Linked DNA regions of Caenorhabditis elegans. The protein of the gene in region 1 interacts with the protein of each later gene in a pairwise test. Each region holds a gene or a part of one and is shown on either strand. Other genes may lie near its edges. The genes, in order: lin-17 and cam-1.

Region 1 (5,135 bases):
CTTTGCATAACCTCCACATCCAATCCCCATTCAAAAAGTGGTGTCTCTAAACTTTTTTCCAGCCCATTGACGATCCCGTCTTCAACACTCCCATTAGTCCCTATTTGCCTCTGTGAACCTTTCCTTTCTTTCTATTTTATGTTCAAGTCGACTAAAAAATACTTTAAGATAGACACACTTCGCTGCAAAACTCCCAATAATTTCGACATTATATACCCTCAAAGCGAATTTTTCCGCTAATTCCAAAAATATGCTTTTCATCTCTCTAGCTAAAAAACTAATTAAGTTACAGTGGTTTTTACAGGCGTGTGAGAGAGTGAGAGGTCGCAGACGCGCGAGAGTGTCTGCTTTCTCTGCGCTCTCTCATCTTTCAGTCGCTGGACTAAAACCCCCGTAACTCAGTGAGCTTTAGAGTGAGAGACACAAAAAGTAGATTTTCGGAATCAGCGGAAAATTTCTGTTTGAGGAACAAAAAGTTGTAAAATTTGGGAATTTTTTTAGTAAATCTTCTGAGGCCTAAACTTATTTTCCAGCCCATTGACGATCTCGTCTCCAATCCTCCCATTAGTCCTTATTTGCATTTTTACCTTTTCAAAAACTTCTCCACCTCAACCTCCTCCGTCTCCATCTCTCTTCTTCATTCTCCGTTCATCATTGTCCAGATGTGTGTGTTCGTATCAATTGCCCCTTCTTCTTCTTCTGATACATGTGTCGTATACACATACAATTGCCTATGACACGGGTCTCTATGTCATAAATCTCTTAAATTCTACAGCCCACCCTCCTCCTCCGACATCATCGATCGGGTGGTGTGCGTCTTTTCTCCATCTCCCCTTCTATCCACGAAGAACCTAATAAATCAAGACATTAAGAAAGAAACGGAGATCTTTCTGTTTGAGATCCCTTAGGCTCGCCCACTAATTTGACGTTGAAATATTGTCTCGATTTTGAGCCGCCTGAATTCCATCTTTTTGAAATTTTAGGCCTTTTTGAATTTGAATTTGAATTTAGTATTTTTCTTTTTTTTTCGTTTTTTCCGGATTTTCAGACTTTTCTATTCTGTTGAAAACTGGAGAAATCTACAAACTCCCCTGATGGCCGAGTTTTCCATTTTCAAGGCCACAAAAACATTATTCAAATTCATCGAATTTCTAGGCTTATCTAAAAAGTGATATGCATGTCTTTTTAGATACTCAATCCCCATTCAAATTTTTTGAAAATTCATTAACTGGGAGCCTGGCCTGTATTGGACGTGGCCTAGAAAAATATTTAGTGGCCGAGTTTTTTCTCCAGATTTTTGCAACAATTTTCACTGTAATTTGAGTCAAAATATTTTTTTTTAATTTAAAATATTCAATTTAGGCCTAAGTTAGGTAAACGCGCTCCACTGAGAAATAACTATGCAAACGCGCTTCGTTGAAAAATGGTGCAAATGCGCTTCATCGGAGAAAAATACAAAAATGTATTCCATCGAAGAAGATGATGCAATTGAGCTTTACTATGCAAATGGGCTCCATCGGTAAGTACAGAAACATTTTGATTTTCGGTGTTTTTTCGTGCCCCTTTTGTCGCATTGGGATTTGAAAAGATGCCTATTTCTTCCCGAAAAAAAGTTTCTTTCAAAATTTCTAGGTCCCACCACGAAGTTCATAAGTCCCACGGATTTTGGGTCTCATCACGAAAGTTTTGTATTAGGTAATCTACTAACAACTTTTTATAAAAGCACATCAAACCCAAATAGTGACCACTGATAGGGGGCGGAGCCTAAATCAGCCAACTAGAGAGCACGAGACGCAGCACACACCGTGTGTGTTTGTGCAGACGTCTTCCTTCTATTCTTCTTTCTCCATTACTCTCTCTATATGCTAACCAGACGGGTGCTGCTTCACCAGGAGCCTCTAATTTTTTTTCTGGGTTTGGTATGATTTTTCTAGAGCTTTGAAATTTTTTTAAAACCAAACTATAGATATTTTTCCCAAAATTTCAATTTTCCCATGGACCACTTTCCATTTCTCTTCTCCTGTTTTTCTTCTGTTCTCCGCTCCTCTCAACTTTAGTATTTTCTCGTTTTCGCTCCTCAAAATTGACTCTAATTATTCCGTAACTTTTTGAAGGCTCCTCGAGAGACTGGCTCCTTCTCCAAAATGATGCATTCTTTGGGCATCATTCTACTATTTATTCCACTCGCCACAGGATCAATTTTCGATCAGGTAGACTTATTGGAAATCTGAAAAATCGATGCACCATGCCTTTAAAAAATTGCACTAAACTTGCGCGTCAAATCGGATGTATTTGATGCTTTGCCCATCCGTTGCACCATGTTTTCAAATTTTCGATTCACCATAAGCCTACGACTTCTGTCCTAAACTTGCGCGTCAAATATGGTGCACCGGGTGAGTCACTTGAAAAGTCGATGCACCTTGATCTCTGTTATTAAGTTTACAGTTTACAAAACTTGCGCGTCAAATATGGTGCACCCGGTGCGTCACCCATATCCTAAAAAGTTGATGCACCATGTTTTAATGCACTATGGTCATTTAGTGAATTTGTCCGTCAAATCTGGCGCATCTAGTCGTGCCACTTTCCTAGATTAAACACCAATTTTTCAACTTTTCAGGCGGTGAAAGGGAAATGCATTCCGATCGACATTGAGCTATGCAAAGACCTGCCCTACAACTACACATATTTCCCGAATACCATTCTACACAACGATCAACACACGGTAAGCCCCCTTCACCAATAATTTCCATATTCTATCAATTCCTGAATCGGGTGATTTGCATAGAGGAATGGAGAATGAGGGAAAAGTTAAATTTTCAAATTGGTGTCCCATTCCCAGTCACACACAGAAAAGAGGGAACCGACTGACGCTGGTCGCCGCCGCCGCCCGCTAGCGGCAACTTCAAAGAGCCCCTGGTCTCGGCCAAAAAGTCTGCGCACTGGCCGGTGCACACGCTCTCTGGCCATCGCCCATCTCATCAACATGGACAAAAATACGCGAAAAATAAATGAGACAAAAGGGGGATGAAATGAATAGGGGGAGAGGTACGGTCAAAAAATATATGGTGCCGCGGGAAAGATTAACTCCGTTTTTTTTTTTTGGGAAATTGGAAATGGGGATTTTGGCCTATTTCAAAAAAATTTTAATTGCTGCATAATTTATCATGGCAGAAGGAGTCAGGTGTCAAAATTTTAGGACATATTTTTTAGGACATTCTAGGCCCAAATTTTAGTCTAAAACTTTAGGCCAACATTTTTTGTCCAGAATTTGGTCTGAAAATTCAGGCCAAACTTTGAGCCCAAATTTTCAGACAAGTTTTACGCAATATTTTTAGGCCATATTTTTAGGCCAAATTTTTAGACAAAAATTGTAGGTTCTAGGCCGCATTTGTAGGTCAACATTTTCCGTCCCAATCTTGGTCCGAAAATTTTTGTCAAATTTGAGTCCAAAGTTTTAGGCCAAAATTTATTCAAATTTTTAAGTAAAAAATTGTAGGTTTTTGGCCACATTTTTAGTCCATATTTTATTCAAAACTTTCAAAAGTTTTAGTCCAAAATGTTAGATCAAAACTTTAGGCCAACATTTTTAGTCAAAAATTTTTGGCCAATTTTTTAGGACAAATTTTTTGCCAAACATTTTAGACCCAAATTTTAGGTTCAACATTTAGTCCAATTTTTAAGCTAAAAATTAGGTTTTAGGCCACATTTTTAGTCTATATTTTTATTCCAAACTCTTAGACAAAAGTTTTAATCCAAAATTTTTGTCCAAAATTTTAGATCAAAACTTTAGGTCAACATATTTAGTCCAATTTCTAGTCCAAAATTTTTTGAAAAAAAAAACAATTTTGAGGCTAAAATTTTAGTCCAAAATTAAAGGCGCACACTCTTATTTTGTTTCGAGACCCGGTTAACAAATTTTTGGGATGAAAAGCACACAGTGGGTTGGGGTCCACTCCTCCGGCACGGTGGTTTTTTACTAAAATTTTTTGTTTTTTGTTCAAATCCAAACCCACTCTCTATCCAAATATTGGTTTTACATACAACTGCATTTTTATGACCACACCGGCTAAACGTTTTTCGATAACAAACTGATAAGCGAGGTGACGGCGGCGGCGGAACCTCAAAGGGGGCACCAGCGTCTAAAACATGTTTCTAATTTTGCTCCGCCGCACTTTTTACGACCTCCCGTTCTTCTTCTTCTTCTTTCTGTGCTCTTCCCCTTTTCATCAGATACGCATTTGCATTTCGAAGGGGGGAAACGGGGAGGGAAATGGGTTGTGGAAAAGATCCCCCATACTAATTGCATTTTGGGACCACAACAAAAGAGCCCCGGAGCCCACCCAGTGGAAGGGATTTCTATACAATACAAGGGTGCCGGAGAAAACATTTTTAAGGGTTTGGACCGGAAATCCTAAGAAAAAATTCGTACTTTCAGCTTCAAACCCACACGGAGCACTTCAAGCCGTTGATGAAAACAAAATGCCATCCACACATTCACTTCTTCATTTGCTCCGTTTTTGCTCCAATGTGCCCGATTGGAATGCCACAGGCCGTGACAAGCTGCAAATCCGTTTGCGAGCAAGTGAGGAAGAAAGTGGCCGAAGTTTTTATTTGGCGGCCACGTAGTAAAAGTGGAAAAATATTGGGATGGGTCAACTTTCGGACAAGTAGCTTTTTAGGGTTTAACAGAAAATCCAAAACTTTCCGAAATGAAAAAATTTTTCTCAATTATTTAATTTTGCGAAAAAATTTTCAAAAAGTTTTTAATATTTTTTCATATTTTCTTTAAAAATTTAGTTTTTAGAAATTGGCAAAATAATTTTAAACAGTTCTATAAAATCCAAGTTCGAGCCAAAAATCTAGAAAAGTAATAGCTAAAACTGACAAAAAAGAAAGTTCGCTTGTCCGAGAGGACTACACAAACCATAAGTCTCTGTTTTTTCGGGCAATTTTTTAAAAACTGTTTTGTCTTGTCAAAAGTTACATGAAAAAGGAAAAAATCGTCTAAAACCCGAGAAAATCCCTTGAGGGGTAATTTGAAACGGGGGATGTGGAAACGCGAAAATTAGAATAGGAGAGGGCTAATTTTTTTTGAGAAGGTTTAAATGGATTTTGTGAAATTTTGCCATTATTCT
Region 2 (4,927 bases), on another chromosome or scaffold:
TCCGTACCAACTCAACTCAATTTCCAATTTTCTTCTCCTACGGCTACTTGTTGTCCATTTTGATTATAATCGTCTATTTCTCTCATAGCTCCTTGTGCTCAACGCCTAATCCTCTTCTCTGCTTCCAACAGCAGCATAAACAAATTTTCACACTCAAGGACCCGCTTCTTGAAATTTCTCTCTTCTACATTCGGTGAACACAATTCTGAAGCAGCACGAGCAGGAGCATGCACTTACTTTCAAATTCTATAATAATCATTTTGCGTTTCTCTTTTTATCCGATTTACGCTCTCAGGGATGAATGCTCCAGTGTATCTAGGATTTTGAGAAACATATACAAAATTAGCTCATGCTGAAGGTTTCGAAATATCTACTGCAGATCACACATGTTTTAGGAACATACATTTTGGCCAATTTGTTTATATCTACCGTATCATTTCTAATAAAATTATTGTAATCATTTACACGTTCTGAAAGTTTTTTAATCGACCTGAAAATATTTGTTCACATAGTCGAAAGGTTTGGAAACCTGCCCATGAATTTACGAACGTTCATTGGACTTTCTGGACATGTGACAATTTTTCAATAATTTAATTAGAAGATCCATGATCTCATATTTTGTGCAATATATAAATGTTTTCTCTGAAATTTAGCTGTTCTTCTTCGAATGGGACTCTCCCAGAATTCCCGTTTGAAATTCCATTCAGAACATCAACAGGAAGCATATCATTTGGTTTTCTCACGTTATTTCCGGAGTTTGTTTTGGACCTTGATTTTCAAGTATAAATTGGGATTTGGTTTCTAGTATTAAAATGACAAAGTGAAATATTAGAAAAAATATTTGGAAATAAAATCATGCAATTAAACATTTTAAGAACACCATTTTAAAAATTTTACAGTTGAGTTTTTTGATGGGTGAAACACCTAAATTTTTGACAAACTTTCGTCATAATTCCACTTTCTTACTTTTAAAATAAGTGACAATCTAGTGTATATCCAGCTGTGTCAGGAAACTCAATTATTTTCCAAATTGCTTTATAAGCCTTATTAGACAGGTGTGAAAACCCGTGTATTACTAAAATTGCATGAAAGAATGCTCATCTTTTCTTCTCTAAATCTCTTTTTCATTCAATTTTCTTCCATTTTTCATCACCAACTCTTTCTTCTAACTCATTGCTTCACAACTCTTCGTGCTCCTGCTCATTTCTCAGTCATCCATCACATTTATTTTACATGCAAAATGAGTGGAAAAGCGCATCAAAATGTGTACTACTAATATGAAAATGACTTTTTTCCCGTCTCTTTTTGTACTTCATCCTCAATTCATTTCGATTTGAGAAAAAAAGTTTCATTGGTGGTCCTGAAAGTTGTCATCTAATGAAAAAGACCTGCGTCTCTTCTGGAAATGAATTCAGAATTAGAAGAGAGAAAAGTTGTCGAATTCATGACTTAAGAAAACTGAAATTCTATACTTTTTCTTAAATTTCCTCTCAAATTCTCATGATAAATTCTGCGATTTCTGAAATCTCACCTGCCATTTCTCAACTTTTTTTTTAGCCGGCTTAAGCTTTATACTTCAATTCAACTTTTGCTTCACTGAACTTTATGAATTTCTGTTTTTTTAAAGTAATATTTGAATTACCTTTTTTTATGTTACTGGTGCTGAAATTCTCGATTCGAATAAATTTTTGAACTCTGTATATTACCATCTCGTTCCATTTTTTAATTTTTATACCCTAAATCTTGAATATTCCAGAAATGTCTCCCCGACCAGAAGACGACGATCTCGTGATAGAACCAGCCGACGATGAGGGTCTTCACTACGGAAATGCATCGTGAGTATTACTGTCTTTTGATACGATAATTATAGTAATTAGATACGGGTGGTAGAAACTGTAGCTGCCTATTTTGGCAACAAACGGTTCGGTTATTTACTATCAGATTAAATGAATATGGGTCAAATACAAGTAGTTTATTAGATTGCCTCAAAAACACAAAATGCTTAAATCTAGTGAGTCTATAGATGTACAGTTTGCTGACTACAAAAATTTTTAACGACCTCTAAAATGCGCGTCCACCTCTTGGCGTATAAAATATAAACTTTAAAAGCATTTAATCAGTTCATATAGATTTTCATATATGTTCATATAGATCAGTTCATATAGATTTTCAAAAAATGTATTTAAAATAAACCCAATTACTTCTTGATTTCTGAATAAAACCATATGGTTACCGCCATCCGTTCCCACATTCATCAAGCTCGCCCGATGAGTATTATGCAGTATGTGATCTTCACCGTTAGAATCTTGATTATAAAAATAATGTTCAATGGGAAATTTTTCTGCAATTCTCCCTCCACCCAACTTATTATCTTCATTCAAAATCTTGAAAACTTCCGTCGTGTCGACTTCCCATTTTTCATCTTTTTGACAAGTTTGCAACTTGCGATTAGTTTTAGCGCAATTTTTATTAGATTTTGAGTTAAATTAATTGCTAAAGGGGTCAACTTCGAAAGTGATTTATTTCAAATTTTTGTGAATTTTAAGTAGCTAATACTTTGTCAATATCAAAAATCAAATCGTTATGAAAATAATTTTTGGCTCGATTTTTGCCTAAGTTATTTTAACTTGTTAAAAAAATTGACAAACTTTATATAGTGCTTTTAGGCAAAACGTGGGCAGAAGCTGAAACTCGCTCAATTTTTTCCATTTTTCGAGCAATACTTGGATATGGTCTCAGTCAAGTGTTACAAATTTTTTCGCCAGTTTTGTATTTTTAAGAGAAAAGTTGTGTAATATTTTGGTGCCAAATGCCGATATCTCACATTTTTGATGAATTTTGGTAATTAGATATAACATCACGATCCAAAATTTTCCGTTAGCACCCATTCTTTTGGAAATTTCAATTATTATTTTTTCATCCATATTTTGTACCACTATAGAGCATCAAAATGTCATTCCGGATGCGGAAATTGGGTTAACTGACACAAGCTCATTTCCCTCAAACAAACGGAGTGACATGCCCATATAATGGATGACCATTCTCCCACCTCTTCTGTTCTACATATTGCATAATCCACTTGACACCTATATACATCCACCAACACCCGGACGTCTTCCTCCTCTTTCACCCATACAACGGACCACCCCCACCCTAACCGTGACCATCTCCTCTCTCTCTCTCTTTCCCTAATATCTGACAAAACGGACTGACCTCTGCCTTCTTTCCTACTGTCAGTCATCCCCTGTGTCTCTGCGTCTCATTGAATCAGTATACTATTTCTCGGGGATTCTGTCGAATGGGCCCTCCCCGCCAAACGCGCTCCGCACATTCATCCGACGGATGGACTACTCGATTTATAATTTATTGGCCTTGTAATGATGACACATCGTAAAAAAGAAGTTAATTTATCACTATTTATTAGTTTCTTTTTCTAATTAATTTATAACTTTCGAATCATTTTTGAACGGTTTTTAGTGATTAGAAAACAGTTTGATTCCAATATTAAGGTCTTATTACTAATCTATAATAGGCATTTTAATACTAGCTTGATTTAGTCTGCTTAATCCTAAATATCGTTCAGTCAATCCGCACTTCTCCTCCCCGGAAATGAAATATTCCTAAACTTGAATTAGCTGAATTTATCTTGAATTTTTATTTTGGTTTCTAGGTTTAGTGTACTAAAATCCTGGAGATAGTTTTAAACAATCTTACGGTTTTTAACAAACCTCCATATTTTGCCATTTGGAGAACTATTCTTTAAGTGCGCAAGATTTGTTTCCACAACTTTTAACTAAATTCTAAATTATTTTTATATCTTCAGCCTCACATGTAGAAAAATTTGTCAAAACTTACTTTTTTATATTCGTTATCAAATCTCTTATTTTTCTTCTTCTCTTATCACCGATTCCATTAATTTGACCTGACAGCCGAGCATGCGTTCCACATCTTTTACGTCATCTATCTATTACCATTCCATCTTCTTCCCGTATTCCAAAACTCCCTTCACACCTTTTGTCTATACTTGTTTCCCAGGCTCTGTCAGTATATTTGCAATTGGATCAATATCCTATTACTCCTGAATAGGCTAATGGAACTCGCATTTCGATGCGAATAATAGTCATTTAGGTGGGCTATTATTACTGACTAGTGAGTCTCGTGTTCAGGTTTAGATGAAATTTTGTTTTGAGGCAAGGTTATACCTGATAGAGCATTTTTGATTTCGAAATTATTTTGCTCAGACTGAACTATTTCCATTTCTTTCAATGGGTGGCAAACTGCAGTTAGTCAATTCACAGTCAACTTTCTTCAGGCACAGAAAAATTGAGTGATTTTTTAAATTTTCATATTAACAATTCCACCAATTGCAAGTACACCCAACAACCGAAAGTGATTGTAAGATCAAAACATTGGGTTGAAAAGTGTTTGTATCTATCTCGGTCTCTTCTTCTGTAGTAAATTGTGCCTAACACACTGTTTCAATGTTTGTGATCCACTTTCCAATTCCGTTCTCATCATCATGTTTATCCTTGTCGGTAGTCGGCTTTTACTGGCTCTCTGTAGAGACTGTGATGATCTTTTATAGGAATTTGTGATTTGTTTGGACAACTTGGAAGTCAATTTTTTAAACTTATACTCCCTAGAAAGATTATTTTCAGAAACTTCTTAGTGTAATTTTTCTTATGTTTCTATTATAGTTGCCCAAAAAATTTCAACACCAAAAAACTACATTGCTTGATTCCAAATTTGAAAATTCGAAATACAAGTCACATACACACTCTCAAATTTGGCACCATGAGCCCATTCTCCATCTCTCTGTGACTCTTCGAATTTCCCCATGTTCTTTAGTTCATTGCAACTCCATCAATCTTCATCATTATTTCAACTATTTACGCGCCCCCAAGTCTCGCACACACACGGACAACTT

The links.
Region 2: the proteins of lin-17 (region 1) and cam-1 interact in a protein complementation assay, tested with the Caenorhabditis elegans proteins (one study listed by BioGRID).

What each region holds. Positions count from the first base shown.
Region 1 is NC_003279.8:2,705,485-2,710,619, forward strand, and holds the start of lin-17 (Frizzled-4), read left to right. Parts: upstream 1-2,114; 5' UTR 2,115-2,144; coding exon 2,145-2,210; intron 2,211-2,617; coding exon 2,618-2,722; intron 2,723-4,434; exon of another isoform or gene 4,435-4,435; coding exon 4,436-4,582; intron 4,583-5,135.
Region 2 is NC_003280.10:9,307,133-9,312,059, reverse strand, and holds the start of cam-1 (Tyrosine-protein kinase receptor cam-1), read left to right. Parts: upstream 1-1,755; 5' UTR 1,756-1,758; coding exon 1,759-1,835; intron 1,836-4,927.